4 linked regions of the Arabidopsis thaliana genome follow. The protein of the gene in region 3 interacts with the protein of the main gene of each other region in a pairwise test. Each region holds a gene or a part of one and is shown on either strand. Other genes may lie near its edges. The genes, in order: AT1G05640, PTR4, AT1G68220 and AT3G08930.

Region 1 (7,846 bases), about 24 Mb from region 3:
GGAATGCGCGAGGCATTAATCACTTTCCCTCCCACTTACAAATTTGAAAGGAATCGCTCAGGCCTTGGAGGTAAAAGTGGATTTGATACATAAGATATGAATTTGAAAAAATTGAAGCAGTTTTGCTCTGCTCTGTTCTCTGCATTTTTTCCTCTGTTTTGTAAGAGATGGTGGCTCCAAAAAAACTGAATCTTTCTGTGCTGTGTACTCTCCAGGATATGATTCAGGGGAGAAAAAGCGAATTCCTGCGTGGTGTGACCGAGTTATATATAGAGACACTCAATCTAGCCCATTCTCTGAGAGCAATTTGCAATGCCCTGTAGTTTCATCAGTCATAATGTATGGTTTCATGACGACCTTTCTGATGTTTCTCGCTTTTTCCGGTCTCTTCAATGTGTTTTCTCCATTCTAACTTCCCACCTGCGTGTTTCAACAGGTATGAAGCTTGCATGGATGTTACTGAGAGCGATCACAAACCCGTGCGCTGCAAATTTCATGCGACAATAGCTCATGTTGATAAATCTGTGCGGAGACAGGAACTGGGGAAAATAATAAGGTCTAATGAGAAGATTTTATCCATATTCGAAGATTTAAGATTTGTTCCAGAAACTTCTGTGAGCACCAACAACATTGTTCTTCAGAGTCAGGACACAGTCATCCTAACAATCACAAACAATTCACCCACGAGCCAAGCCATATTTAACATTCTGTGCGGTGGCCAGGCTGTAGTTAAGGATGACGGAGAAGATGCTGACTACAATCCACGAGGCTCCTTTGGTCTACCACGCTGGCTCGAGGTATTAAATTCTCTTTTGACGCCAAATGAAGATTCTTGTAGTATTCAAGATTTAGTGATATACAAGAATTTTTTTCTTTTAGGTTTCTCCCGCAGCAGGGATAATAAATCCAGAAGGATCCGTAGACGTTAAAGTTCATCACGAAGATTTTTACTCAATGGAGGAATATGTTGATGGCATCCCACAGAATTGGTGGTGCGAAGACACTCGAGATAAAGAAGCAATCCTGATGGTGAACATTCGAGGAAGCTGCTCAACAACATTGAGAAGCCACTCTGTCAAAGTCCGTCACTGCTTCTCAGCCAGAGTATGTCTCCTTGAGAACAGACCCACGAACCTAACAAAGAACTTAGGTGGTTCACGTCGTTACCCAACAGATATTACCCGTAATGGAAGCACTAGACCAAGAACTGAAGACTCGGTTAGACGAGGTAAAAGCCGGTGATGAGCTCTTGTGACTTTGACAGTTTTAACTAGATCTTAGAGCAGAAGAACAACAAAGTCATCACAAGACAAATGCATCAGGTGAAGAATCGCTTTTATTCATTCGTTGATTCTTTAGAAAATTCATTTTGTGTCAGAAATTGTAGATTTGCTTTGAGACTGTTCCTCAGGTAGCATGTATTCAACTTTTGTATCTCCTCACTTGAATCTAAACTACAGGTACGTGACCCATGTATACATTTGTTACTCTTACACTAAATTGCCTGTTCTGGAGATTTTAGTCTCAGAGTGCATACATTCTCTTGTTGAATTCGCCGTTGAGAATCTCTGACTCTGAAGGCATATGAGATAGTGAGAAAGATTTCGATTTGCTTCTCTCTTTCCTTAAGCTTTTCAGTTTAGATTCCTCGATCCTATGCATGACCACACAGTAACACATTGCACCTATCGTGGTTAGCATAATCGTCCCGCCAATAATCGTTGCACAAATCGCCAGCCAAATGTCCTCCTTACCCACAACGATAAACGAAAGAGAAACAAAGGCTACGGATATGAACAAACAAGCCAACCACATGAGCTTGTTGATCACAAACACAAGATTCTTCTTTGCCTTCTGCTCAATCACCACAACTGAAGTCTGCACCACAACAACAGCCAAAGATATGAACAGCGCCAAGCTGTCAAATATGAAGAAGACTAAAAACGGGGCTTTGCCGGCTATGCGGGCTTCTCCTAATAACAACAGTCCCTTTGTTCTGTCTTCTTCATATTGCCCAGGAATGGTGAAGATTGCTGCAAATGCAACTGTTGCAATTAGGACAGCCACAACGGTTGCAGAGTTTATAGCGTTGTTTAAACCATTGATGTGAAGCTTCTTCAGTCTCTTTGCGATTCTCCGCACCCTAACACCCGTTTGGCGAGACTGTTGGAGCTGAGACTGTACCTCGTGTTTAATGTCACTGACCGTTTGGTTAAGTTGCTTAGCCGGGTTTCGAGGCTTCCCAAGATCTTTAGCTGTTGCAGCTCCTGCTTCCTTCAGAACCGACACAAGCTCTGGATTTCCAATCTTTTCGGCTATATCAAGTGCAGTATCTCCAGCCTTATTCATAGCATTAAGGTTAATTCCATCAAATGATACCAAACATCTCACTATCTGCAAGCAAAGGCAAAATGCAGTTCATCAGAATTCTTGTAGATTGAGAAACTGAGGGGAGGGGGAATTAGCGATGATGATACCTTAATACGGCCTTTGTTTGTGGCAGTGTGCAACGGCGTATTCCCTTTACTATCCTCAACACTCAAAATCGCAGGATCAGGTTTCACCAACTCAAGAACAATCCCTTCGTTCTGACCTTTGACAGCCATGTGAAGCGCTGTTTGTCCCTTCTTATCAGTTCTAAACCCGATGCTTGCATCATTACCTATCAAAGACTTAACCACTTCTCTGTGCCCCATTCGCGCTGCAGAATGAAGTGCGGTTTTACCATTGTTCTTAGCTATCTTAGCTAAATGAGAATCCGTCTTTAAAAGAAGATTCACCACATCAGTGTGTCCTTGTGAAGCAGCCGTGTGCAATGCAGTTGTACACGATAGATCCACCGTCATAGCCAGATTCGGAAATGTCTCCAACAATTTCTTCAATGCCTCTGCAAAAGACAGCACACATTCAAAGATATATGTCAAGAAGGTGTACAACAATAACAAGGTCTTCAAGTTATTATCAGATTCTCTAAAGTTTCATTTACCAATATGGCCTTGTTTTGCAGCGACATGGAAAGGATCAAAACCGTTGCGAGCTTTAACTGATGCAGTATCAAGATCCATATGTTTCAACATCTCTTCAACAACTAATGAATGCCCATTTTCTGCTGCACTATAAAGAGGGGTCTCTCCTTCTAGATTCTGCTTTGATGACAACTCCTTCAACTCTTCAATGCCGTTACAAGCTCGAATCAATTCCATAACCTTTCCCAAATTCCCCGTTCGAGCTGCGAGATGAAGAGGAGAATCTCCTCTTTTACCAGGTGAGTCAGTCTTCTTCTTCCTCTCACCACCAACATTCATGAAACTTAACTGTCTCTCCATTACTACCCTAAAGCTTTTCTGCTTCTCAACAAACCCACGAAAGCTTCTCTGCCTCTCCATTGCCCTCTCCTGTTTCTCCATTGCTCTTCCTTTGATTCCATGTTTCTCAACAACATTCACAGCTAGGAAACTAACTTGCTTGTCCAAAGCTCTTCCCTTTCTCACCTGATTCTCTGCACCAACGCATCTGAGACTCTGCTGTTCCTCCACAGAGTTACCTCGAACGCTCTCTTGCTTCTCCATAACAGGAACCAGAGAACTCATGGTATGCTTCTCCCTTAGATTACACAAAGATCTTGAATAACAACTTTTTCTCCCAAATCTGAAAGATGCCAACTTTGTTTGAAGAATCCGTGAGCTCTTTTCCAGCAACCCGTGTTTCGTAATAACAGAACCAGCTTGAAAATGGAAAACCCTGACTTCCCTGTGATTTCCAGATTTCTTGTAAAGATTCAAACCGATGTGATGAAAGAAGAGAGAGAAAAAAAAAAAAGGTTGCAGCTGATTTCAGTAGAGTGTAGCTGAAACCCAATAGATTGATTTGTAAATCTCAATGCTTTTTGTGGGCAAATCATGTAAGATTCTCAGGATATAGAGATAGAGAGAGAGACTGTGATGAGTGACTGCATCTTCAGCTGTTTTCTTTATTAATTTCGCTAAACTTCCAAAATCTTTAGTAATATTAGTGATTACTTTTTCTTTTGAGTTTTGAAGCAACAAATTCTTAATTACTATGTCAATTATCTCCAGTTTAAAACTTTATATCCAGTTAAAGCTTCTTTTCTCTAATTTCTTTATATTTTTGTTGTCCAAATCAAAGACCAAAAAGCAAAAGCACAATGTGATGGTGACAACAAGTCAAAGTCTTCCACTTTGTTGGTTACTGAAAATAATATTTTATTAATAAAAAAAAAAAAATTGTATGTTACAGAAATTGGTGATCATATACCTTGTTACAGAAAACTATTTGAAAAATCAGTTTCCTAATAACATTTCACAGTGATATCATCTTAACCCCAAATAAATTCATCGATTTAGACAACTAGTAGGTTGAATAACACCAAGATTTTTCCCAACAGCATTGAAGCACAAGGAAGTAGCAGGAGTTCCTTTGTTGTAAGTAAGCTTTATGTCTTGTAATGTGATTCCCGTGCATGGATTGCTCTTGCTACACACCAGCTTCATTGCTTCCTGCGTCGCCGAAGTTCCTTGTATGTTCTTGTACGTCACTTGGGTTATCTTCACCCCCGAATGCTAATACATACCATAAACATAATAAATCTTTAGTTATTTGACTAAGTTGATAATTTGATATAGCATATTTGATTAGTCTGAAATTGATCAAAAATATGATATGGATATACCTCAGTAGGGCAACCTTGGTTGGACGGACAATAGTTTTGGTCGATTATGATAGGGTTTTGGACGTTCCTCATGATTAGATTTTGAAAGAAGACGTTTCTAACGAATCCGGTACTCGGCCTCGCCCATGACTTTATCCTCACGCCGTTTTGTGATCCGGTGAATACCGAACTCGATACTGTCACGTTCTCTACTCCGTCTTCGTTTAACTGCTTTGCCAAACTCCCGATGCTGCCAGTCATCACATCATCATATGAGTTGTGACCAGAGTGAGTGAAGGCAATATTGCTAGTTTTTTTTTTGTTGGAAATTCATGATTCCTAACAATTAATGATATATTTACATAATTTACTCTAAGGAATTAGACGGTGGTGTATACCTAACCCCGTGACCTGGGCCACAAGCAAGCTTGGAAATTAGGAAGTTGCGGGTCCCCTGACCGATAGCAACACAATCGTCTCCGGTCTGAACGGTGCTTCCGGTTAATGTGACTCCAGTGGAGAACTGAACGGTGAAGCCGTCAGTGTTTGGGCTGTCTCCGGGAGCCACCAGCCTAATGTTACGGACGGCCACATTGGTGCAACCGTTGAGGGTCATATGGCTAACCTGGCTGTTCATCGATTTCACTCCACTTATGATCACGTCTTTTGCGGAGTTGAACGATATTGACTACAGTAATTAATATATAAACGCCATAGATTAATAATAAGATTATAAATATTTCATTTTATTTTGACCAAAGAATCCATTTCCTTGTCCAAAAATCATTATCATAATAGTTATTATATGCTTATAAAATAAATTCCTAAAAATGGCATGGATAGATCATATTGAAAATTAAATGTGCCTGAATTAATATAGTTGAAAACTATCAACTAATTCCTTTTTTTTTTTAATCGTAAGTAAATGATTGGAATAAAGATATGTTATTTGACTATTAAAAAAAATATATTGACTTATTTAGTTATTACTAATCAATAATGATTAAAGCTATTTGTTGCTCTTTTGCATTCTGGTGGCGCTTATGTATGAATGTCAGATTGTTGTTTTTATTTACAATAACTATAGATAGAGGAGAAGCATATGTACCCTAACACCGGGAGGACAATTCTGGCCAGATTTCCGGCAAGACCAGAACCCACTACCTCGAGCGTCAAAAGTCCCACCGACCAGTGAGAATCTGTTAACCTTGTTGAAGAGAATCCAGGAACCGGAATTGCCAAAGGTCCTATAATCTTCCGGAGCAACGACGGTTCCGGTCACTTGAAATGTGATTTTGCTCTTGCATGGCCCTCCAAACGTTATTACCTTCAACAAAAATGTCCCCGTGGGGACCACCACCGTGGCTGATGCTGCCGAGCCACAAGCCCCTTGCCATGCCTTTAGGAATGCTGCTGTGGAATCGGTGACTCCGTCTGGTTTGGCCCCGAAGCTCACGACGTTGAAAACAATGGAGGCGCTGCTCGAGACATCGATGAAGGTGAGAAGTGTGAAGATAAGTGGAAATGTTATAGCTGATTTTGTCATTTTTTATATGTGAGTTTGAGTTTATGTTTGTGTTTGTGTTTGTGTTTGTGTTTGAATTGATTTGATTTGATGCATGGGTATATATAGGGAGAGAGAGCATAATTATTTTGGTTCGTTATTGGAGTCTATGGTACAATTAAGTACATGTGATATCTATATGATAAGAGGTTGTGAATATTTTATGATTGATAAAAGAGTTTACATTTCCAATCATTAGGTGCACACATGGTTGATATCGTACTTTTAGGAGCAACGGTCGTTGTATGAACGATGACATTTTTGCACATTATCAATTTCCCATATAACATGGGCCATATACGTATGTGTATATGTATTATATTCTTGGTACATGTTGTTTTTATATATTGATGAACAAAATAAATACGTGGAAACCCACTCAGCGATTGATTAGAACATAAACCGTATATAACGTTAATTCTATAGAGAACCAACAATACTAAATGAAGAAAACTATCATTTGTGCATAAATAGAAACTCAGCCATAAACTAAGAGAAAGAAACTCAACCAAAACCCCTATAGAGTGCAGAGTTGATTTTTTTTTTTTTTTTTGTTATCGACACAAAATTTACAAACTCCTGAAAGAACTACCATAAAAATAGGAATTCTTTATAAAAAAAATAGTAGTAACAAAATTAAATGAATAATATCTATCCTAATCTTTAGAGTATTCTTTTTATCAATAAAGTATTACTTTTCTCCAAGAAGGTAAAATGATCATGGAACAAAATCCTTAAAAACTTTAATTTTATCAAAATTTCAACAAAGAGAAGAACAATATAATCCATTAAAAGAACAATTTGTCATCTGCCATTTCCTTGCAGCTATATGCAAAACTTATGTTTTGGAAGTATTAGGAACACTTTCAGAACCAAGATTTTCTGATCGAAGGCCAATATAAACAAACATTAAGTAGTTGAGCAAATCTTACAATCTTTCGATTTGTACATATATGCACATTACGGGTGAATGTTGTTATAGTTAGCCATTTTATACTCTCTTTTTTTTTAACGACCATATACAAAACGGTAATATTGTGAAATTAAATTTAAAATGTAGGTAAAAAGTGATCAAAATATGTATAAATGACGACATCACCTCATTTTTATATGAGATGACATGTGATCAACTTAGCAGTTGACCGAAAAAAAAAAAGACGTGTGATTAACTAGCTCACAAATTATTGAAACCAACCCAATCATATTCGTTAATCATTCTGATCAGAATTACAGAAAGTCAATATTATATATATTAGCTAATTGTAGTTGTTGACATTTTGAATTCAACAGCCCTAAATATGATTCTTGCGCCGCTCTAGTTGAATTCATTGATTGGTTGTTGTTGTATCTACAGAATGAATAAGAGGTAAGACGAGAGAAGAGACAACAGTCGAACGGAGAATCTGCTACAAGGTAGAGAGACCGAGGAAGCAGGTGATTCCCATGTGAGATTCTTTTAGTCCTAAGCCCTGAAGAGTGTGACCATCTTTAGCTCTTAAACTATTTAGCAACCATATACATACACATTATTCCTTTTCTTTTCTTTATTAATTAAAAAAAAAAGTTTCCAAAATATATAATCATCACAAATGGGCTTTGTAACGGGCCAATAC
Region 2 (7,306 bases), on a different chromosome or scaffold from region 3:
GTTTCTCCATCGATTTCTTCTGACTCTTGTGAAATTCAATGTGCGCTGAATTTATAAGTTCTGTTTCCATATTTTCTTTGTAACCGTCATAAAGAGTGGCTGGAATCAACGTGAATTATGATGTATATATCTATATAGTTTAATGTTTCTTTGTTATTTTTTTATTTGAGAATTGTTTTCCGTTATTATCCATGGCTCAAAGCCTCAAACTTTTAAGATTAAAATAACTACAAAATTGTTAGAACAAATCTCTAATTGGAATAATGTAATTCATTTACATAGTAAATAATACTAAGATTTGCCTAGATTAACTCAAATCTTAGATTGACGTAAATAACTTCTGAATCCAAGAACTATAATAATTCAAAATTTAACTAAATTCCCCTAAAATAAAATAAAAACAAATTTGTGAGTGATTATTTTGGCGATTATCGTCTTTCTCTCTCTTCTCCTTACGTTGGTGTCGGTTCATGTTTTTCGCCGGATATCTCATCTTGTTGGCCGCGAGAACTGGTTTTGCCACTCATTACACCATTGGTTGGGTTGTCCAAAATCTGTCGTGACGAAACTGACCAAACAGTCTCCCGGCTCAATTCATTATGGGACCTATGGCAAAACCCAAAATAAAATAAAATTTCTTAGTAAATTTTTTTTTTTGAAATATTGGGGCCTTTTAGTCTTAACAATTTTTTTGAAATTAGTTAGTAACCCTAGGCATTTGCCTACCTTGCCACCCCCAGAGACGGGCCTGTCTCGAACAAATCACGATCCGTCGTCAAGCAAGATTAACATAACTTGTTGTGACCATCATCACCATGAAGAAGCAGATCTTGTCGCAAACATCATGGGCACCATCACCAACGTATGTTGCATCAAACATACGACCAGTGCGTTGTTCTCTTCTCTCTTGGTGCGGTTTAATCATTTCATAGTAACTGCCATGTCTCTCTTTCATAAAATTTTCTTATGGTTTCCATTACAATGGAGCCGATTTCTTTGCCTCCTTCTCTTCATGGGAACGGTAAATTTCTATTTCGATGCCGGTGTGGAGAAGTTGTTCGACGGATCCGCTAAGCATCTTTTATGTCTGTGATGGGAACATCCCATTGCGATGTCAATTTGGCAATACATTGCCAATCTTCGATTGACTCTGGTGCGCTTCCTAGTGAACCGTTGCAAGAGGTTTTAGCCGAAGATCAAATGAGGCTCGTAGCGACTCTTCCTCACAACTGGTGCTTCGGTCGACGAATATGGGTTCCGGGAATATTATGTCTTCGAAGATTTGACAAATTGGCGCAAGAGAAAATGAAAACTAATGGATTGAATCCGTTAGTGAGTCTTGTAAAAGGAAAATCCATAGTCATTAACCGGTGCAGAGCGTTTCAAAAAGCATGATTCAGAACCATTTCGAGCAACTTACCAAATTCTTCGTTTTATTAAAGTAATGCAGAAAGCATTTAGGAGTTTCATCTATAAGATGTTAGCTTTTTGCGAGTGTATGATGAGAGGACTTAACAGATTTATTTTGTTGCCTGTAAGGCTTCCGTTTCGAAAGCAGGGTCACTTACACTTCTTCATCAAAATTGTGTTCAATTTCCTTTATTTGTTTCAATAGTTATATTTGAATGGTTGTTGTATGTATCATGTAAACCGTTATGATTTAATATAACTGATTTGCTGGTTTAAAAAAAAACAATTTTGAAAGTACACACAAGAGCCAGAAGAAGAGATCAAACCTTCATATGAGTATATTTCACAGAGAAGAAGACAAAAACAGGTATGTTAACAGATCCAAGACTGACCAAAAGCCAGAAGAAGTAATCAAGATGTCCATTGTTAATGTTGTCTGAAGGAATCCAACAATCTTTTCCGCTCAAATACGCCACAAGGGTAATGATCAACGAGCTCAAGTAGTTTCCTAGTGTAGTAGTGAGAAGAGCCCAAGCACTACACAAGCTTCTCATTGAATCTGGAGATTGCTCATAGAAAAACTCAATCCTCCCAACAAAGAAGAAAACTCCAGCAGTGCCCATTAAAAAGTACTGAGGGATTTGCCAAAAGATGTTTAATGGAACAATGTCTCCACTTTCCACTAGATCAAGATCTCTAGCTAACTGTAACCGAACCGTCTCAACGATAGCTGCAAATGTCAAGCTCAAAACAGAGACAAAAAGACCAATCCCCATTCTTTGTAGCTCGGTGAATCCTTTAGCTAAGCCTGTGAACCGTCTCACTAAGGGAACGATGACGCGGTCATAGATTGGGACAGATATGAGAACACTTGCAGTGTCGAACATCCCGAGAGTTGCGGGAGGGATTTCGAATAAGCCGATGGTTCGTTTCATGCACCGTCCTTGTTGAACAAAGAGAGTGTAAATCTGTGAATGGAGAACTGAGAAGATGATTCCTGAGGCCCAAATGGGGACCAAACGTAACAGAATCTTAACTTCTTCGACTTGAGTCACGGTACATAGCTTCCACGGGTTAGTGTTTGCATCTCCTTCTGATATAATTGCCGCTTTGTCAAGAAACCTGTACATTGATATCACAACCCGTTTATTTAACCGTTAATAGACTAATGCTCAATTCAAACAAGAAATGAGAGGGAAAAAGATTTTCTTGTAACCGTCCGTGGAGTCTTCAGGGACCTTGAGATTCGATTTACGGTATGCGGCTACAAGAACTTGGCAGACGCTAGTAATCGGGCTACCTCTCGGTTTCTGAAATCTATAAAGCGGCGTGCCAAAGAAGAAACTCATAGTAGCAAGTCCCATGAACACGGTAGGTATCAAGAATCCTAATTCCCATCCATAATTCTCTTGAATCCAAACTAGAACAGTAGATGAAACAAAAGCACCAATGTTGATAGTGAAGTAAAACCAGTTAAAGAAAGAAGCTTTTCTGACTCGTTCGCTTGGATCGGTCTTATCAAACTGATCAGCACCAAAGGATGAGACACATGGTTTGATTCCTCCAGTGCCAAGAGCGATAAGGTAAAGCCCTGAAAATAAAACCGTAGACTGAACCATTGTTGCTGGTGGACATAGAGAGCCAATGCATTCCGCTGGCTTAAGACCCGGAACTGAAGCTGAGAGTGTCAATGCAACCATTCCCTTAAAACAACATCAAAGAACAGAACATCAAGCCAAGAACAGAACATAAAGCAAAGTTATTTTTCAAGAAAATGCTTACGGTGAAATAAATGGCAGAGAAACAAGCAATAGTCCAATATCTTCCCCAGTAAGCATCAGCTATTAAAGCTCCAATAAGAGGAGTGATGTAACATGTTCCTTGCCATGTCATGACGTGTCTAGCAGCAGAAACATTAGTCTCATGCAATTCATTTGTGAAGTACGTGATGAGATTCTTGGCAATTCCATAATAAGCCAACCGTTCGCAGCATTCGTTTGCTGCACCAACCAAAGCATAGATATCAGTTTTTGGAGATTAAAGACAGAACATGAGAGAATACAACAAGTACATTACAAGTGAAATAAAACAAAGTGTTTACCAAAAATGAATGGACAAGCTTTCCAGTTTCCTGTTGTCTGCTTCAATGGTGGGTTTCCATGAATATCTATTGAACCATCTTCAGCATATAATTTTACTTCTTCCTGGAGAAAAACGAATTAGTCAACAAAGATTTAGACCCCAAAACACTAAAGAAACAATGACAATGAGGTTGAACCTGTATAAGAGATTCTTCAACTTCAAGAAGTGACCTTTCTTCATCAATGGAAGCCATTTTTTACTTTCTCCTCAACATGACAATTTTCACGTAAAGCTGATTTAAGCTTCTCAACGAAGGATCAAATAAAATGATCCTCCCACTGACCAAGTTGTTGTTGGTGGTGTGAGTGGTCACTCACCACAGAACCACATTCTTTAAAAAATGTTATAAAAAAAAAGAGGGAATATAAAACCACACAAACTTTATTAATCTGATTAGACTTAAGCATTAAGCAAATTTTGAGCCATAGCACACTTTTCCCCTAACACAACAAAAGTTATCAAACAAGTTAGAGACTTCAAGTTTTAAAGAAGACATCAAACAAATCTTACGAAACCTTTCTAGCCAAACCGGTAAATTAACAAAGCCAAGACAGACCAAAAGCCAAAAATAGTAATCAAGATGACCGTTACTAAGGTTCATTGTCGTGAAATATGCAACAAGTGTAAGAATCAATGAGCCGAGTGAAGAGTCCAAGCACTACACAAATTTTGCATCTAGAGATTGTTCATAGAAAAAATCAAGCCGACTAAGAAAGAACAAAACGCTAGATGTTCCCAATAAAGATATATTGAGGGATATGCCAAAAAATGCTCATTGGAACAGTGTTACCACTATCAACCAGATCGTTGGATTACTCTTGTCTCTCTCGAAGTCGAGAAGTTGGTGGCGGTGACCACTGGACCATAAAATGTGTTCTTGTTAACAACACGTTTTAAGAAATTGCAAAATTGAGTGGACCTATTGGGCTTTAAATATTAGTGGGTTTCCTAATTTGTACTTGTTGGGCCAATTTTATGACCTCCACAACTTGGATATAAAATATTTGGTAAGGAATTAAGTAAATAAATACTATTTTATTTTTTGAAGCACCAAATGCAATTTATGGTGTTAATAAAGTTTTATGATAATAATTAATTAATGCAAAATAAAAATAGTTTTGGGGTAAATTGATTTTTTTTTTTTGGGAGACCAACAGTCTTCAACCTCAAAAACGAGAAGCTCTAGTAAATCATGATCGTTTTGTAATTTATTGGTTTACCAATTGATTTTAGTGATATAGTTTTCGAACCGCTTAAATGATTAATAAATAAATAAATTAAATTATGGATTGGTGATTTTGTCTCTAAATAAAAATGTTGAATATGAAAGGAATAGTTTTGAATTGTCCTTAATAATTTAACGTTGAACTATTGAATAGTCAATAATTCGGTCGCTAATAGTTGACTAGTACAAACAAAACCGAACAGAGCATGTATTAATTGGCCATTTCAAAATTCGTGTTGCAATAATTAAGGAAAGTCAGAACTTTAGAGAAGTAAACCGGTGGCGGTTACCCATAATTGCCGGTTCGGCGAGTGGCGTCTCGGTCTCCATTTGCCGGTTCCCATTGACTAACGCGTTAGAGAGTGACTGATGGGTCGACTTTTGACTTTTACTATTTTTCTTCTTTTGTTTCTTACTGCCAGTTATGCCCCATTCCCTGCCTCTTAATTACGTATGAGTGCCACTCACAAATATTTTTATTTCTGAAAATCATTTGGGGGAGACAAAAAAAAACAAGATATAACAAACCTGTTGTTTTACTTTTGTTACTGACAAGTCCTTCAGTCAAAAAATAAAAACAAGATAGATAAAGAAAATGAAAACTGTATTTAATAATATCCTGAATAGTCAAAATAGAATTGTCTATAAAATCTGATTTTTTAAAAAATATAAACATATATGATGAAGTATTCTTGTTTCATGTATCCATTCGAAAATATAAGTAAATCCTATGTACAATTGAAAAAAAAAAAAAAAAGGTAATCTAGAAACAATGCTGATCAAGCTGTAGTATTCAACGTAATTAACCCAAGCTAGGGCTAGTGGATTCTAGTTTTCAACAAAATTAACCCAAGCTAGGGCTATTCTAAAGCTAGTCTAAACATGTGGGAGGTTTGATAAATCGCCTAACTTTATTTGTTTAATTAGGTCAGACCATGGGTTTGATGTTTATTTGAATTTTTATACTTTAGAGATGGTAATATGAGATCTTACAACAAAAAGTCAATGTCCTTTAGTGGTGATACCAATATAAGTTCGAATTTGGTTTCTAGCTTATTGGTATAAATTCCATTGACAGCAAAAAGGAATCACGAAAACAATATAATCTAGTACTATATTCACATTTTACGCGTAACGCGTTTGTAATATTCACATAATTATGTAAGTGTGAAATTGATCAAATCGCGGGAGATGCTAAATAAACAAAATCAAAATCACTAATAAAATGTTCACGATAACTTAGAAAGATCCAATAAAAAGATGACGGTCGGAATTTGTATACGATAGTAATAAAAGTATTCGTGTTTCTAAAAGTTAGTAATTCATTGGTCTAAATATTATAATGAGGAAAAGTCATTGGTAAGGAAAAGGTTTGAAAAAGGAGCACATAAATAAGGACCAGCGATGCTTCCTTTCACGATGCAAAACACGAAATGAAGAGACACATTCTCTCTACTATATATACCATTTGCTCCTCTTCCTCTAATTCCACACATTCTTCTTCAACTACAAAACAAAAACACTACTACACATTCTTTCCTCTTGTTCATTTCAAACCCAAAAATCAAAGTTCGAAGTTGAAAGAAGACATGGTTTTGTCTAAGACAGTTTCCGAATCTGATGTCTCAATCCATTCAACTTTTGCTTCTCGTTACGTCCGCAACTCTCTTCCACGGTAACAACTTGTAACACAAATCTTTTGTCTAATGTTTTCGTCAACAATAGTAACATGTAATGATGTAAACCTTGGATAGTTTTTTTTTTGGCCGTGGTTAATGTTGTAGATTTATTATGTGTTATATACTATAAGGAAGGACATGTTTCGTTATTTTAACTTAATGTATCATCATTTCATCATTAGATTCGAAATGCCTGAGAACTCAATCCCAAAAGAAGCAGCTTACCAAATCATCAACGACGAGCTAATGCTCGATGGTAACCCAAGGCTGAACCTAGCTTCCTTCGTGACCACATGGATGGAGCCAGAATGTGACAAGCTCATGATGGAGTCCATCAACAAGAACTACGTCGACATGGACGAGTACCCTGTCACCACTGAGCTTCAGAACCGATGTGTTAACATGATAGCACGTCTCTTCAACGCGCCGCTTGGTGACGGTGAAGCTGCCGTTGGTGTTGGCACCGTCGGATCGTCGGAGGCGATTATGTTGGCCGGTTTGGCTTTTAAGAGACAATGGCAGAATAAGCGTAAGGCCCAAGGGCTTCCTTATGATAAGCCCAATATCGTAACCGGTGCTAATGTCCAGGTAAACCAAAACAAAAATTGATGAAATATTAACCAAGACAAAATTGAATTTATCAATCCGGTTAAGTTATATGTGTGACTCAATTTCCGGTTCAATACAGGTTTGCTGGGAGAAATTCGCAAGGTATTTCGAAGTGGAGCTTAAGGAAGTGAACCTAAGAGAAGACTATTACGTGATGGACCCTGTAAAGGCGGTCGAAATGGTAGACGAAAACACAATTTGTGTCGCTGCCATCCTCGGTTCAACGTTAACCGGTGAATTC
Region 3 (6,733 bases):
ATGACTATATTTACATAGATGTCTATTTGGACTTTGAATGTATGGATATACGAAAATATTTTGGAGATTTGTTTTTCTGAAGATTCAAAAAATTGATTAGAAGACTCTGATTAGCAACTTAAAACAATTTGAACTATCTAACAAATAAATGGTAAACAGTTACGGAATAATGCAAAGATGTAAAATAGAGAAGCAGTAAGCAAAAGTGATAAACAAAAATCCAAACAAAAAACCAAGAGGTATATATTAACTTAATTTGGTTTACGGAAAAAAAATACATGAATAGAGACAAGAAAATAGATGAGTCTCGATGAGTCTTTCTAGTAAGAAATCAAGAGCTGATTGCATGTGAAGCAACATCCCTAGTGACCTTGACGAAGCCAAAGAGGTACCTAATATATTTTTATTTTCTTTTATCACCAAAGAGGTGCGAGGTGCCTAATAATGAAACGAATATCTGTTGAATATATCCCTGATATAAAGTTAGACCTCAAAATTGCAAAATTTTAGACTAATAAATCGTTGTAACGTGAGTTATGCTAACTCTTACAAAACTTTCTACTAAGGTTTGAGGAAGATGTAATGGTATCAAAACCCAGTCAAGCTTCGTAGCAGAATGGCAAATATCGAATAACATTTTCATTGCACAAGAATATTTCATAGAGTTTAGAGAAACCAATCATGCTTAAAATAGTGATAGCCAGTAATAACATATTTTAGAAAAGACTATTCTAATCACAACGAGTCACCTTCAATAAAGAACGAAAATCTAATGATCAATACCCATTGAATCCTGAATTCCTTGATGAACAATCATGATTACATGAACAAAGACTTATTTTAAGTTTTAATAATGTGTAACAATATGTGCAGATTTGGAAGATTGATATACATAAAAGTTACATAGTCCTTCTAGTTTTAGCTTGAGCTTTAGGGATCTTGTTAATGACTTTGGAGTTGAATTTGTTTAGGAGCTTCTTCATGTCCCTCCCACTTTTACTTGCTGCATAAGTCAGCTCTTCTTCGTATTGCTCATACAACATCGGTATTGTCTCCAAACCCACAAATACTTCACCAAAACACCAAAAATGTTTGTAATTAAAGCCATACTTAAAAAGAAAGGCTTTTACCAAAAAGAAAGGCTTTTACCAAAAAGAAAAAGTTTTGGAAAATGTAGAGTGTTAATCAGTAAATGTGTTAGATAACCTCATTAAGACTCACCGATGTATAATAGAGTTAGAGAGCTGAAATAGTTTCCAACCACTGATAATATCCATAGGGAAACAACGGCCTAAAACGAAACGAGACACAAGTTATAAAATCAAAACAATCTTGGTATGAAATAATTAAAATGAAATTGTGTGTATTGATTTATACCAGAAAAAGGAGTCTGAAGTCTTTGCCACTTGAAATATCATACAATTTGATGATGAACCAGTTTATCTTGTTGAACAAGAATCTCCAATTCGATTCCGAAATCCTTAGATCATTAATACTCGGAGGTTTACTGCGCAAAATAACATTTCTTGAGAGCTTGGTTGATTGATTCATAAAGAAGTATATCTCAAGTAGTGTTAATGTTTTTCTTACCTCTGGATTAGTTGTGAGGAGCCAATGTAAGACCAAATGAGGAATATGAAAATGAATAGTAAGAGGATCTGGCAGAGGAAAGTGATGAAAGGATATTCAACCACTTCGAACAAGAACCATATCAATGTGAATACCCCCAAGATTGTTCCTGATTCTTTCTTGTTCTTCCAGAACATTATATCAGCAACTACAAGCATTTCAAGAGAAAAATCCTTTAGAAAAAGAACCAAAATTAATGTGAAAACGGAAAGAAAAATATATGTTACATCGTCCTCCTCCTAGATTGTGGTACAAAGATCTTCGTCGTCTCGATGAAGAAGCTCTATGTTCATCCATTTCATATCCAAAAACCGCCATTTTGTTTTGGTTTCAGGTTTTGAAACAACTGTGGCCTTTTTTGTGAGCTAAGGTCTAAGATTCATGGTTTATTATATAGTTCCGAACTTTTAGGATAAGAACGGTTTTGTTCTTGGATTCATAAAGAAGAAAGCGATTTGAGAAAAAACAGGAAAGGTATGGCTTTAGCATATTGCAAAAACTCATCATTTTATTGCTACATGAATAAATTAGTTTTATATCTTGTAGAGAATCTTTCTTAACTTGAGTTAATGATCAAAAATGTATTCCAAAAAGTTATCAACATTTTGATCATAGCTAAACCCTTTCCCATGCAAGTATATTCCAAGTTGAGGCTAGATATGTTAGGAATGCAATCATTGGGCCTCTTCGTAGGCCCAGTCCATTATGTGCCCATATTGTTTTCATGTCTAAACTTTTAGCAGATGATAACAATCTAGATGAGGTCAAGTGGGAAGCTAAGATGATGACTGAGCCAAACCAAATTTCTCATAGACATACATAAGCCAACATTATATCTGACGACACAAGTTTATATTGACAATTAACAAACAACTATTTTTTTTATAGTTTTACCCTGTTTTTAAAAGCATAGCCAACATAAGACCAAACAGAAACTGGTTTAGACCTTGTTAAACTCGGTGTTTTGTTGCTTTGGAGCATCTGAAGGAGTGGTCATACCAATGTTAATGCCATCGTTCTGATGCTTCTCCCATCCGCCAGTATCAGCCTTAGAATGAGCCAAGTAGTAAAGAATGGTTGCAATCAAAGACATGAGAGTGAAAGCAGCTCCAGCAGCAAAGACTCCAACGGGTAAGACGGCACACGAAAGCTCTTTCCCTTTGTAAATGCCTTCACTTTTAGTGTGGTACGCGTTCCTCGCTGATCCACCCAACAAGCACGCCTCAGCTCCTAAAAAGCTTACCCTAAAGATACACAAAACCAATGACTAAGACAAACGTACTCAAACATAGAGATGAACTAACTAGTTCTTATTCTTGTAAGGTCGTTTCTTTTCTTATAGAATCCACATAGTTTGGTAAGATAACAAACTGTAAAACCAAACATATAGAATATTCAATTGTGACCATGACGAAGCCTACCACTATCATTGTCTTTAGATAGAGACATCCACAACTCACAAGTAAGAGTTAAGGACGTAAATAAGAAGTCAAGTTTGCAACAAAGTGACTTATTAATCATAAATCACATAACCAAATTTCAATACCCACTAATCTAAAAGTGTTTACTTTTCATGTTCACAATACTGAAAAGAGTTGGAAAAAACTTTCCTTTTCACTTCAAAGTTAAAACCCATAAATATACACAATCAAATCACAAATTAGTTCATTCCAAATCTAACTTAAAAGCCCCTAATCAGAAATTTCAAATTTTGGTTACCAAATACCACTTAAATCAACTCAATTTCAAATCTTGATGTACAAAAGATTCAATTAGAGAGTAAAGGAATAAACTTTACCAAGAAACAACGAAGAAGACAATAGCCCAGACAGTGTAAGAAGTACCAGTAACAAGACCCTTTCCAAAACAGAGACACTTAGTAACACCGTTAACCACCGCTTGGCTAACAAGAAGCAACCCAAACGCCGACATACCGTACACTGTCGACGCCTCAGTTCCGTACTTACAAATAGTCTTCTCATCGTACTGATCCGGAACCGGCACAGCCTGAATAAACAAGAAAACACGAATTCACAACACAAATCGGAAAAATGACAAATTTTAGTAAGAGAGAGATAAATTGGGTACGGTGCTACGGCGACGCTCGGCACCGAAGGCGAAGACGAAAGCAAGGAGGTGAAGAGCAGTGACGACGGTGAGGATTGAAACTGAAACCGCCATTGATTTGGTTTTCGTGCTTCTTTCTCTCTTTACTCTTTTGTCTTTTATCTTCAGAGAGCTTTGGGCAAGTGAAGAAACGTTAAAGTGTCCTTATAACACTGATATTTGTTTTCTCTTTTTCTCTTTTTTTAGAATTTTGAACACTAATATTTATGACTTAATTGTCAAAGTGTCTCCATCTAATCATTATATCTGGTTACTCTTTTTTTATTTTTTGGATGTGGTTTACAAATGTTTAGTGGAGAAATTTTGAGAGATATTTGATTAAGAGTAAGTAATTAAATGGGTATATTTATACATATTGTAGCTTTAAGTGGTAGCACAACCACCAGCTCAAGCATCAGAACAACAAGAAATCGACTTTGCACGCTCCATCCTTTGCCTTCAAACCCCGAAATCATGATTAGATTTAGAAACATAGTTGGAAGACGACCTTGCTAAAAATCAAAGACTCAGTAATTTGTCATTAAATTACTACGACGTAACAAAAAATAATATGATGTCAATTGAGACAAAACATATCTTTTAATTTTAGAGAGCACATGAAGTCATGCCAATGCTTCTTTGACAGATATGATGCCTTGTTCGTGGTTATCTATAGTAAATAATATTTGTTGACAAAAATATATTTCAATGATAATAGTTATAATGACAATTGACTATAATTTTGGAAGTAAAGTAGTAAACTATTATTTAAAAAAAATAAAAAATTAGATTTAGGATCAATACTAGAGCATCTACTACTTGGTCATAAGTTTTATTAGAACTGATTTTAATAGAAATACTAACTTTGGTCAAATTAAAAGTGTTTGACTACATTTTAATTAAAGACTGAGAAACAAATTAACAAAAAAAGAAAACTTATGGTACGATTAAGAACCTGAAAAACTTTTAGAATCTCATACATATTGTTTATGATTAACATACATCTATATTTATGATATGAATATGCATTATACAAAAACATATTAAATTTATAAACTACTTTTAATCTTGTTGTTCTCCTTTTTCACCATTATTCATACATCTTTATTCATCTCTTCGTTAATCCAATCCATGCATTCACGATAATCATCAAAGTTATCGTCTATCTTCATATCATCACTTTGATTCACAGATTCTATATTATGATATTCGCATGACTCCATCATATTATTTTCCTCAGAAAAACCATTGTCTTCTAACCAAGAGAATATATCCTTCTCATTGGCATCAATGTCAAAAGAAATCAGATCTTCAATCGAAATATCGTAAAGAGCATCGTTCATCTCTTCCATATTGGTTTCCAAAGGAACCATATTATCCAAAGCATCGTAACTTGTTTCACAAGAAACCAAACTCTTTTGGATGGTATTGGTTTCGAGTGAAGTTATATCTTCAGGGAAAACCCAATCTAACGGATTTGAATAATTGGTTTCTAGAATGGCCATATTAGTTTTGGGAGGGATTTCACTATGTATTTCACAAGAAACAAAGCCCACATTATTTGTATTAGTTTCTTCTTGAGGGGGAATACTTCCTCCAGAATAACCCATGCCCATATGGTTTATATCTACTTCAGAGGGAATCATATTTTCAAAAGGAACATAACCTACTTGTGAAGAAACCCAACCTATCTCGTTTGTATGTTTTTCAGGAAAATTTATGTTCATGTTGGTTTCAGGAAGAACGTAATTTGCTGTTGAAGGATCCCAATCCATATGGTTCATATTGATATCATGGTGACTAAGGTTTTCTATAAATGAAACCCAATCCATCTTGTCTATATCGGTATCCAAAAGGTTCATGGTAGGGTTTGGAAGAAATCTATTGTTTTCCTTCATAAGGCACTCATCTACTAGAGGATCGAAAGAATCTAGTATAGAAGTAAAATCTAAATCTATTTGGTTTACATCAGTTTCAAGGATGGATCTATGTGGGTGACATTGATTAGGATCATACTGCGGAATAGAAATCCTTTCGGATTCCATCTGAGATGTGCATGTGTTAGATGCACCATCATTCGATGGTAAACCATAAAGGATAGGAGAATTTTCACTACTTAAGCCAGTTGAAACTAAACCAGTATAGCTAGAGCTATCGATACTAGAGCTATCGATAGAAAGAATATTGTAAGCTGGATTATTACTTATGGTTGAAGGAACGAAGTTAACATTCATAGATAGCTTGTTAAGGACGTTACCATGAACTGAATGATTGCTTAGATCTAATTTCCCGCCTATATGAAACTTTGGCATTGTTTCCTCTTTCTCACCAATAGGTTTTTTAAACAAAACTGCATTAAAAAAAAATTGTTAATACTTATATGACACAAATTGTAACACCGTGAAAATCTATATAATAGAATAATACTTACATTGAGTGATAGAGGCTGATGCAGAGTTTTTCTTTTCTAAAGAATTCCACAAGGAATTACTTACAATGAGATTATTTGTTAAGTCTGATATTTTGAAAGGATATTTGTAGTTCGAAGGATATTCGAATGTTTTATCTATCGATCTCGATTCATTTCTTGGCAATGTATAGCTTATTTGGTCAATTTGAGCCTTGTATTTCTGAAATTCATAGAATAAAAATATTAGTATAAAGCTATAATAAGAAGACAAACATATTTCTATGTTAAAAATATATATATTTTATATATGAACCTGAAGGTGGCTACCGACTTGACGATGAGTTAAGTTTGGGTCATTCATAATCTCTAATATGGATTTTGGACGAAAATCTGCAAGGTAAAAGAGAGTAAAAAACTAGTATACTAAACTTGAATAAATAAAAACGAATTGGTCAATGTGAAATATAAATCTTACCTTCTTCACCCAAAATGGAGATAGCAGCTATAAACTTCATGTGACGCTCACTATTCCACAAACTCTTACGTCTTCCAACACTTTTCTTCCATTCCTTTCTCTTATTCTCAATC
Region 4 (9,324 bases), on a different chromosome or scaffold from region 3:
ATGCAAACCAACTCCGGAGAAGCATCTTTGAAGCATACTCCGGGATACTGCAAGGGTTCAAGGATGCAAAGGCTGAGCTCATGATGCCCTATGCTCAACATCTGTTGCAGTTTGTTGAACTAGTATCCAAAGATTCCCTGAGGTCCGTACCTTCTTTTTTCAATAATATAATCAATTTATATATCTTTTCTAGTTTCACTATTCAGTTTAAACTTATTACTCGGTTTTTGTTTTGGGAGCAGGGATGAGAGCGTGACAAAAGCCGCGGTTGCAGCAATGGGTGATCTTGCGGATGTTGTAGGGGAGAACACGAAGCAGTTGTTCCAAAACTTCACCTTCTGTGATGAGTTCCTCAATGAGTGTCTCGAATCAGAGGATGAAGATCTCAAGGTCACTGCACGCTGGACTCAAGGAATGATCGCAAGACTCGTGCTCTAATCATAAATTTAAAGGCTTTTCCATCATCACTACTCGTGCGTCTCTCTCTCTCTGTCGTCATTGTTTTGAGTAAAGGTTTCAAAGAATAGTTGCGGGTCTTCCTCTTTGCTCTGTCTAATGATGTTGGGATAGTGGTTAAGGGGGGTTTTGGGAAATTGTTTTGGGGCTATCTCTGTTTTGATGCTGCGTCTTATTTTTTACTCTGTAGAAGAAAAACAAAATCTTTTCTTTTTTTTTGGTGAATGGAATTATCCACTTATCGGTGGTCACTTTTTGAGTCAACTTTATGATTCTATGTTTCTTAACGTGAACAATTTCGACAGAATTTAGCAAACGATTAATTTGATGTAAAGGCTCATCATAACTCCGATGATCTACGTAAACACAAACTGCGAGGTATAAGAAATTCCGTTTATACAAAAGGTGCCAAATTTTCTTTAAAATAACGACGTTACATCATTACATGACACCAGTAGAAGCTAAAAGCCACCACATCATTACATGACACCAGTAGAAGCTAAAAGCCACCACATCAGGAGGAAGAGAAGGTATCGATAATGGTGGTGTGAAGTGGGTCACTAAGGTGAGTCGCCCAGTTGTTGAGCGGTCCTTTACCGGTTGCAGCCGCCTGAACCGCAAAACCCAAGAATCCAACCATGGCTAAACGAGCATGTTTGATCTCAGCTAGCTGAAGCTGAGCCTTCTTCACCGGGTCAGACGCTAGTCCTAACGGGTCAAAGAACTTGCCTCCTGGATACAAACGCTTCTCCGAGTCCAGTTCAGCGTTTCGTTGGAACTCAATGTAGCCGATCACTAACACTTCGATCCATATCAATGTCGAGATAGAGAACGGCAATGGCTGTCCTAAGTAAGATGATCCATCCACTAGCTCTACCTGGTAAATTAAAAATAAAACAATCAGACAGATGTCGAAACGCTAAACACAAACGCAAAAGTGACGAAAAGAAAAGAGGCGATACCTTGCCGGCGTCTTGCCAAGTAACACCGGTGAGCCATTCGACGGTGATAGCGCCAAGAGTGGCGAGCATTGCCCACCGACCGTGAATCAGCTCACATTCTCTGAATCTTTGTAGCCCGAAGACTTCACTATATGGCTGAAACGGCGTCGATTTGGGGTCCACCGCCTCGGTACGAGTCCCGATCACTTCTCCGTATAAGTTCTTGGCTAAGTTCTGGTCCAAGGAATCCAAATCGAATTGGAGATACTCCGCCGGTTTGCCTAAACCAAAAGGATCGAACCCGTAGTCCCCGACAAGTGAACCGTCGAGATATTCGGGTGATTTTGCGCCTGGGAACCATAGAGGCCGGTCTGAGATAACCGTCTTAGCCTTTTTGGGAGATGCTTTCTTGGTTCCGAATCCGAACCGGGCTGTGAACCGGCTTGAATTGGAGCTAATGTCGGAAACCACCCGGGTACCCATGATTGAAGAAGCAGCAGCGGCGGTTGAAGTGGCGGCCATCTCCGGCGTCGTTAGTTAGTTCTGTCGCGTTTGCGGTTTGTAACTTATCTGAAGCAAATGGCGTTTTTAAGTGGCGGTATGTGTGTGGGAGAGATCTCAGAGAACGAATCTTGACGGTTAGATGGAGAAACAAATCCATCTGACGGTAGGAAACAAAATCAGCCTTATCTATAAAAAGCTCGCGTTATCTATCCTGTCTGTCTTTTAGAGTTAGATGAGGCAAGCAAGCTGATTGGGCAAAAGAAGCTATTGACGAATCGCATAGCAACGCCACTTGTCACTTCAGCAGCACATGTCCACTTGTATAGTTGTATGCCTTGCATACTAAACAAATTCAAGAATATTGATAATCCGGTTAGGTTCGGTTACAATTGTCTCAAACCACAAAGGAAGTCTCTGTCTTGTAAAAATTCGAAGAAGGCTTCTCATTAAGAAAATATGATTACATGATCGCATCCGAGACAGTACAATAGACCAAGACAGGACAGCTAACTGTTGCGCAACCAAACAGCACACTCACAAGAAATTTAATAATACATTCAGGAAAATAAACCTCAGAAGCAGAGTCTCTAGATACTTCTGGAATCGATGATGATCCAGAAACAAGTAGAAACTTTGTCGACAGCACTCAATCAGATCCCCGTGAAAACGTTTTACATTAAGAAGAGAGCTGGAAACGGCCACTAGTTTTTTTTCTTCTCCATCCCTGCCAAAACACCAAAGACCATATGATTCTACAAATACTTAATACAGAAGAGAAAACCCGAGGAGTAACATCAACGAGGACTTACAAAGGCAATGTAATATAGGAAAGTCAGTCCAGCCAGGATAACAAACCCGATTTGGAACACATTGTACCTGAAATATAAAACCTCAATAAGACGCATCACGGATATAGCATATGACTGCTATATGTTATACCACTTCTACTTACTTGTAAAGGTACTTAATTCCTCTAAGGGACTGCAATGTGTGGCCAAATATCTCCTGGGCAGCAGTGGCTTGAGCGTAATATCCAAATGCAGTGGCACAAAATTGAATCACGCTGCATTTTAAATGAACCACATTACTCAGACTGTGAGGATTAACATGTAATTGTGAGGGTAGCAGCTGTATATTAAAAGTCTTGGTTTGACATCTAATAGAGTACAAAGGATACCCAAGTGCATGAGTAAAGTAACTATAAACTTCGATTCAGGCATTCGCCGGAAAGGAAATTAGTTTTAGTGATGGCATGAAAACACTGATAAGTTAATGTATGCACATAAACATGCTTGATCTAGATCCGTTTATCAGAGTGCACTTGATCCCAACAGATACAAAGGCAGAAGAAGAGACCAGAGAGACTTACCTGATTGAACAAAGAAGAATGAGGCCGACATTGAAGAGGAAAGAGTTCATTAGAGTAGCTCCCCATCTGAAATAAGTTGATATGGCCAATCAGCAATCAAGAGAAGGTAATGAATGACCTTGGAAAATAGCCAAATAATGTTGAAACCGGTTAGATGGATTACTTCATTGGATGAATGGTAATGAAGACCAGCTTCAAACCCAGCATCATTGCCCCAGCGATAACAGCAAGTAGAAGGTAGAAACAGAAGAAAGCAAAGGCAGCAGTGCCTAAAAGACCTGGAGATTTCCACACGTACCAGCATGGAGTCAGTTAGAAACAAAGAAGAAACCTTATACAGGATAACAAGGACAAAAGTATGAACTTACCCCAAACATCATCAAGCTTAATGAAAACCTCGTTAAGAAAAGGGGAGAGAGGAGGGTCGACGAGTAGATATATGATGATGTGTGCAACCCAAGCAATGGAAACGATCAATCTACAAAGACATTAAAAATTTGCCATTTAAAAAGACGCTTAGCTCGGGAGCTTAAGAGTGCAAACCTAAATATGCAAGAACTGTATGCATTATGCATGATTTATACAACATGTAACAAAAAAAAATGCAAAGGAGGTTTCTGCTTAGATGTACTAACCCTACGATTCCAAGAATAAACTTGGCCAAGTATCCGAGCACAGTGAAAGCCCATGCAGTTTCTGCCTGGAAAAAGGTACCAGGGAATAAAATAGTTGAACAAGAAAAATATTATAGTATAAGTTCTAAGATACACTCGTCTTACCTGCTCTCCTTGAGGATACATCTCTTCTAAGAGGTTCACATCTTCCTCCAATTGGAGCAACTCCTGCAGGGTTACCACATTCAATTATAGGATTGAGGGGACACAGCTTAAATCCACAACCAAGCAAAGAAAAGCTACCAATAAAGTCAATAACCAATTCTACTATCTCACTAGCTTTTCACTACAAGTTGTCATTCTCATAACTCCACAGACGACCAAAGCCTCTTTACACACAAGGGACCAGTATGAATAGGCAAACTTTCCAAGTTGCTACTTATGAAACAAAATTTAGATAAGATACTGAACCTTGAGATATATGAGGTACCTTTTCAACTGCTTTCACATTTTTCCGCCATTTCCTGCCCTTAGCACCACTTCTTTCTTCCTGATGAAGTCCATCAGCTGCTTTCTTTAGTTCTCTTGCCTTTTTACCTAGTTCGGTTGCCTCCTGTAATATATTTATGGAGTTAATCATGCAAGAGACAGAGGGATTGACTCAAGATCTAGAGAGATGCTTCCAGAGGAGAACAATAACCAGACCTTTATATATTGTGATCGAGTGATAACAGCCTTTGGTCGCCTGATGAATGCAGTGATAAGTCCTAATGGTAGACATGCAATACCAACACCACCAAATATCTAGAAATATTTGAGAGAACAATTAGTTATCAGATTTTTTTTACTGAAATGTATAAATCAAACATCTATTTACTTCAATGGATACAGAATTATATCTTGCCATGCATCTCATCTGTTGAGAGTTTGTGTTAGTCAATGAAGAATCAACAATATAAGACAGATTAAATCCTTTCAAAGCAAACAATGCACTTCTCAACATGAAAGAACAATGGTCATACCGTGAAAAGAACTGACCCAACAATTGTCGCAAGAGCAACAACATATTCTGGAAAAGTAGTACGCATAGTCCATGTTTTCTCAGATGTGGGATTAGCTGTAAATGCTGAGCACTGCATTGATAGCCAGAGACAGGAATATGTTAAATGCTGAAACTCTCTACGGCATAAATGACTCATGATATAAAAACTAATGCTAATGCTACATTCAAGAGGCAAACATACCTGGCGAGCAGTGTTACCTATGCATGGTTGAGTATTTGAAAACTGCCAGGAAGTAGGGAAAGTGGATGTGGCAGAAGCCAAATGCCTGACCGAGAAGTCCACCTTTCCAATGACACCTACATGATGAAGATGTTACCAATAATGTTAAGGTATTCCTAGCATATAAATGGATAAGATAGATATCTCAACCCAAGCCCTGATTGGGTAATTTAAAAGCCAAAATTAACATAAGAATGCAGTCAAATCATAGAGACCAACATCAGATTCATCCTTGCCACATGCTCACTAATGGATTCAATAACCACTCCAGCTAAACAAGTATAACCTCCAGACTATCGTCATTCGTCAATACAGAAAGACGCTGAATTTCAAGTCGACAAAAGAATTGAAAACAGAGGAACAACTAACCATATAAAATTCCAAGCACCAGAGCACAAACAACAGCCGTGGTAACTACCCAAATTAAGGCACTTTTTATCCTCTTTCCAAGAGTCCTGTGAAAAAACGAAAGAAAAAAAGCCCACAAATTGTCATCAGTATTCGATTAACTCAAAACTTACAACATAGAGATACTAAAATTTCATCAAGCTACGAACTTGTCCTGGTCGCCTTCATAGAAAAACATTGCGAAGGGGATGACAAAGAACACGAGAATAGCGTCCACGATATAAATAGCAAGCCAAAGATCCTTCATGGGCAAGGTGAGATTGCAAGCTCCATTGTATATAGCATGTCGACAAGCATGCCGATTGGCCACATCAGCCGGTAACATGAGAATCGAGATCATAGCAATAGAAAGGCCAAAAACAACGACGAATTTGGGGAAATAAGCCTGGTTTGCATCATCTGGATGCTGATAGTTGACGAGAAGATAGATGCTAGAGATGAATACGATGACGCAAACAACGATCGCGACAATCACGAGAGCGAGGTTGAAATCGCCCATCGTGTGCAATGTACAACGTCCCCAATTCGAGAGATTTCGATCCCGGAACGATTTGGAAGATGTAGCACCCAATTGCAAAGGCTAGGGTTTTCTAGGAGTTCAAATTTTGAAAATTGAATTTGGGGATTTTAGTAGATCTGGATTTCTTTCTTTTTTTCCCTCTCGAAAACCAGACGAGGGAAGAAGAAAGAGGACTGGGAGAGGATGAACATTCTTGTAAATTACGAAGCTACCCTCAACAATGTGCTCTCGTGCCTAATGGCTTTGGGTGTAAACGTAAATTGTTACTAGGTTTGGAGATTAGCTGTCCGAAGCAAATGATTCGGACAAAATATTTCAACTAATGAAAGACATCTGTAAGTAATAAACCAGTGACCAATTGTGTAAACCGGACACAATTTTAAAAACAAAAAATGTCTTCACACTTGGCTCCAAAAAACCAATTTAACGACTCTTCTGGCCAAAAGACGGTAACAGTACAAGTAGTTTGAGTAAATAAAATGATACACCTCCTATCGTGGCGAACCGAAGCTCTTCGGTCCCTTCGATCTCTGGAAAATCTCCCTCGGATACTCGGTTAAACCCTCCGGTTAACCACCCTAAGCTTTTGTACCCTTCTCCGTGGAGCTTTGATACAGCCGCCAACGACCTGAGAATGAGATTGAAAAGCAACACCATTTATAACAACCAAACCGAACCAAAGAGTTCAGTTTAATTTATACTATCCAAACCAAAAGATTCTATGATCAAATCGATTGATTAATAGTTTATTTAGTTTGATAAGTTTCTCTAAAATCTGGACTAAAACTGGCAATGATTAACCAAAATGCAACATATAAAGCTGGTACCTGAGTCCTTCACCGCACACGACGAGCACTTTACTCTCTTTGTCCGGGACAGCCTCCACAACACGGAGGGCGAATTCGTCATTGATCATGGTGAATCTCTGGCCCGTCCAAAGCCCAATATATCCCAAATGAATCCATTTCTTCAGCAACGTGATCGGCCCATTGTCTGGATCTTCCACGAACAGTGGCACGTGTAAGGAACCTTTCACGCGTGCCTTTTCTCTTTCCCAAGCCGGCCTCACGTCTAACAGTATATATCCCTCCGACGCCACAACCGCATTGGCTTCTTTGGGCTCCACCGCCCGTACCTTGCCGGAAAGTATCAGCTCTTTACCGGAAACGGCGGAGATCACTGGTAATCTGTATGATTGTCGGAGGCGTCGGTTTAGTACTACTGGTAGCTTGTGGATATGGTTTAGCTGAGGAAGAAGAACTGTCATCTTTAATTCTTTTGGATTTTCAGAGGAATTTAACCAATGATATTGTTCTTCAGATTTTTCATTTTAAGAACACCCCAAAACTTCTTACTTATTTCCATTTTAGGCCCTCAGATATTTCATAATTTGACTATCACCCTCGCTTAAAGTAAAGTAACAAACATATACTAGTGGGGTCAAATGTTAAATAATAAATATATAGGGCTACTAAGTGTAAATTTCCTCTCTTTGAAACGACACCGTGATTCTTAATTCTGATAAGGTTTGACTTTTGAGCTAGGTTTGCCGAACCAAAAACAGAACCGGTAAAGACCAAATAAAAGAACCGGTCGGGTATTTCTTGTATCTCGATAAATATTTCGAACCGGTACGGAATGATCCGCTAGAGTTTTTCCCATTGAAGAAGATCGAGTGAAATTCGAAGAGCGAATCAAAGAGGAAGAAGAAGAAGGAGGAGGTATAGCAATGGGGGTCGATTATTACAAGGTTCTTCAGGTGGATCGGAATGCGAAAGACGACGACTTGAAGAAAGCTTATCGCAAACTCGCCATGAAGTGGCATCCAGACAAGAACCCTAACAACAAAAAAGACGCCGAAGCCAAATTCAAGCAGATCTCCGAAGCTTACGATGTAAATTAACAAAATGCGTTTTCTCTTTTCAGAGAGATTCCCATCTTTTGCTTGAATTTGAGCAATTGTGTAGTTTGTCAATTCACTATGGTTACTTCTCTGGCAATTAAGTAATCTTGATTTGCTTGTAGAATTGTGTTTGATAGATTCCTTATGCTGTTGGATTTTGTAAGGTTTTGAGTGATCCTCAAAAGAGAGCCATCTATGATCAATATGGAGAAGAAGGTCTAACAAGCCAGGCTCCGCCTCCCGGAGCAGGCGGCGGGTTTTCGGATGGAGGGGCTTCGTTCCGGTTCAACGGTAGAAGCGCAGATGATATCTTCTCGGAGTTCTTTGGCTTCACAAGACCATTTGGTGACTCACGTGGTGCAGGTCCCTCTAATGGGTTCCGGTTCGCGGAAGACGTTTTCTCGTCAAATGTTGTTCCACCGAGGAAAGCTGCCCCTATTGAGAGACAACTTCCTTGTAGTTTGGAAGATCTCTACAAAGGAGTCAGTAAGAAGATGAAGATCTCTCGGGACGTCCTCGATTCAAGCGGGTCAGTTTTTTTTCAGCTACATTGTCATGAATTGAGTTTAAGAATCACCTTCTTATGGATTTAGTTCCAAAACATTGATTTGCTTAGGAATTTTTACCTTAAGGAGCTTTGGAGCTGGATAAATACATGAAAGATGTAGTGCTAGAAATTAGTCATTAGCCATTGGATAGATTATGTTGGACTCATTAGAGTTGTTTTTTTTGTAGCTATGATGTTGTTGTTATCGGTAATGCAAGTTGAAAGTGTATTCTTTGTTGCAATGCAGGAGACCCACAACAGTTGAGGAGATCTTGACGATAGAAATCAAGCCAGGGTGGAAGAAAGGGACGAAGATTACCTTCCCGGAGAAAGGAAACGAGCAGCGAGGAATCATACCATCAGATCTTGTATTCATAGTTGATGAGAAGCCACATGCGGTGTTCAAGCGAGACGGGAATGACCTTGTGATGACACAGAAGATCCCTCTTGTGGAAGCCCTCACGGGATACACTGCTCAGGTCTCGACTCTGGATGGAAGATCAGTAACGGTTCCAATTAACAACGTGATCAGCCCTTCTTATGAAGAGGTGGTGAAAGGTGAAGGCATGCCAATCCCTAAAGACCCATCAAAGAAAGGGAACTTGAGAATCAAGTTCACTGTTAAGTTCCCATCGAGGCTAACAACAGAGCAGAAATCTGGAATCAAACGAATGTTTTCGTCTTCCTAGTCTGTCTCTTTCTATCTTACTGCTACGTTTGATTTTCGGTTATGACTAGGTATGTGGTAGTGTGGGTCTTTGTTTGGGAGATTGTGAGGT

Evidence for each region.
Region 1: the proteins of AT1G68220 (region 3) and AT1G05640 interact in a protein complementation assay, tested with the Arabidopsis thaliana proteins (one large-scale study listed by BioGRID).
Region 2: the proteins of AT1G68220 (region 3) and PTR4 interact in a protein complementation assay, tested with the Arabidopsis thaliana proteins (one large-scale study listed by BioGRID).
Region 4: the proteins of AT1G68220 (region 3) and AT3G08930 interact in a protein complementation assay, tested with the Arabidopsis thaliana proteins (one large-scale study listed by BioGRID).

What each region holds. Positions count from the first base shown.
Region 1 is NC_003070.9:1,685,912-1,693,757, forward strand, and holds AT1G05640 (Ankyrin repeat family protein), read right to left. Parts: upstream 4,045-7,846; 5' UTR 3,591-4,044; coding exon 2,987-3,590; intron 2,888-2,986; coding exon 2,478-2,887; intron 2,395-2,477; coding exon 1,525-2,394; downstream 1-1,524. Other genes in the region: 5PTASE13 (Endonuclease/exonuclease/phosphatase family protein), read left to right, coding at 1-70, 216-339, 437-797, 880-1,242; AT1G05650 (Pectin lyase-like superfamily protein), read right to left, coding at 4,353-4,580, 4,691-4,919, 5,068-5,357, 5,778-6,215.
Region 2 is NC_003071.7:475,556-482,861, reverse strand, and holds PTR4 (Major facilitator superfamily protein), read right to left. Parts: upstream 3,886-7,306; 5' UTR 3,746-3,885; coding exon 3,689-3,745; intron 3,615-3,688; coding exon 3,512-3,614; intron 3,411-3,511; coding exon 3,193-3,410; intron 3,114-3,192; coding exon 2,627-3,113; intron 2,533-2,626; coding exon of another isoform or gene 2,504-2,532; coding exon 1,731-2,503; 3' UTR 1,677-1,730; downstream 1-1,676. Other genes in the region: AT2G02030 (F-box family protein), read right to left, coding at 457-527; AT2G02026 (uncharacterized protein), read right to left, coding at 776-955; AT2G02023 (uncharacterized protein), read left to right, coding at 1,084-1,395; GAD4 (glutamate decarboxylase 4), read left to right, coding at 6,211-6,452, 6,639-7,044, 7,145-7,306.
Region 3 is NC_003070.9:25,567,399-25,574,131, reverse strand, and holds AT1G68220 (aerobic coproporphyrinogen-III oxidase (DUF1218)), read right to left. Parts: upstream 4,041-6,733; 5' UTR 3,811-4,040; coding exon 3,718-3,810; intron 3,637-3,717; coding exon 3,428-3,636; intron 2,874-3,427; coding exon 2,570-2,873; 3' UTR 2,399-2,569; downstream 1-2,398. Other genes in the region: AT1G68230 (Reticulon family protein), read right to left, coding at 900-1,069, 1,222-1,291, 1,378-1,507, 1,591-1,777, 1,857-1,947; APRR6 (pseudo-response regulator 6), read right to left, coding at 4,830-6,085, 6,167-6,365, 6,459-6,535, 6,621-6,733.
Region 4 is NC_003074.8:2,710,312-2,719,635, reverse strand, and holds AT3G08930 (LMBR1-like membrane protein), read right to left. Parts: upstream 6,325-9,324; 5' UTR 6,075-6,324; coding exon 5,725-6,074; intron 5,623-5,724; coding exon 5,537-5,622; intron 5,245-5,536; coding exon 5,129-5,244; intron 5,018-5,128; coding exon 4,907-5,017; intron 4,689-4,906; coding exon 4,590-4,688; intron 4,498-4,589; coding exon 4,375-4,497; intron 4,113-4,374; coding exon 4,050-4,112; intron 3,971-4,049; coding exon 3,906-3,970; intron 3,749-3,905; coding exon 3,639-3,748; intron 3,549-3,638; coding exon 3,434-3,548; intron 3,337-3,433; coding exon 3,271-3,336; intron 2,965-3,270; coding exon 2,854-2,964; intron 2,778-2,853; coding exon 2,711-2,777; intron 2,626-2,710; coding exon 2,578-2,625; 3' UTR 2,270-2,577; downstream 1-2,269. Other genes in the region: LHCB4.2 (light harvesting complex photosystem II), read right to left, coding at 971-1,333, 1,419-1,919; AT3G08920 (Rhodanese/Cell cycle control phosphatase superfamily protein), read right to left, coding at 6,519-6,723, 6,923-7,362; AT3G08910 (DNAJ heat shock family protein), read left to right, coding at 7,825-7,989, 8,163-8,527, 8,793-9,234.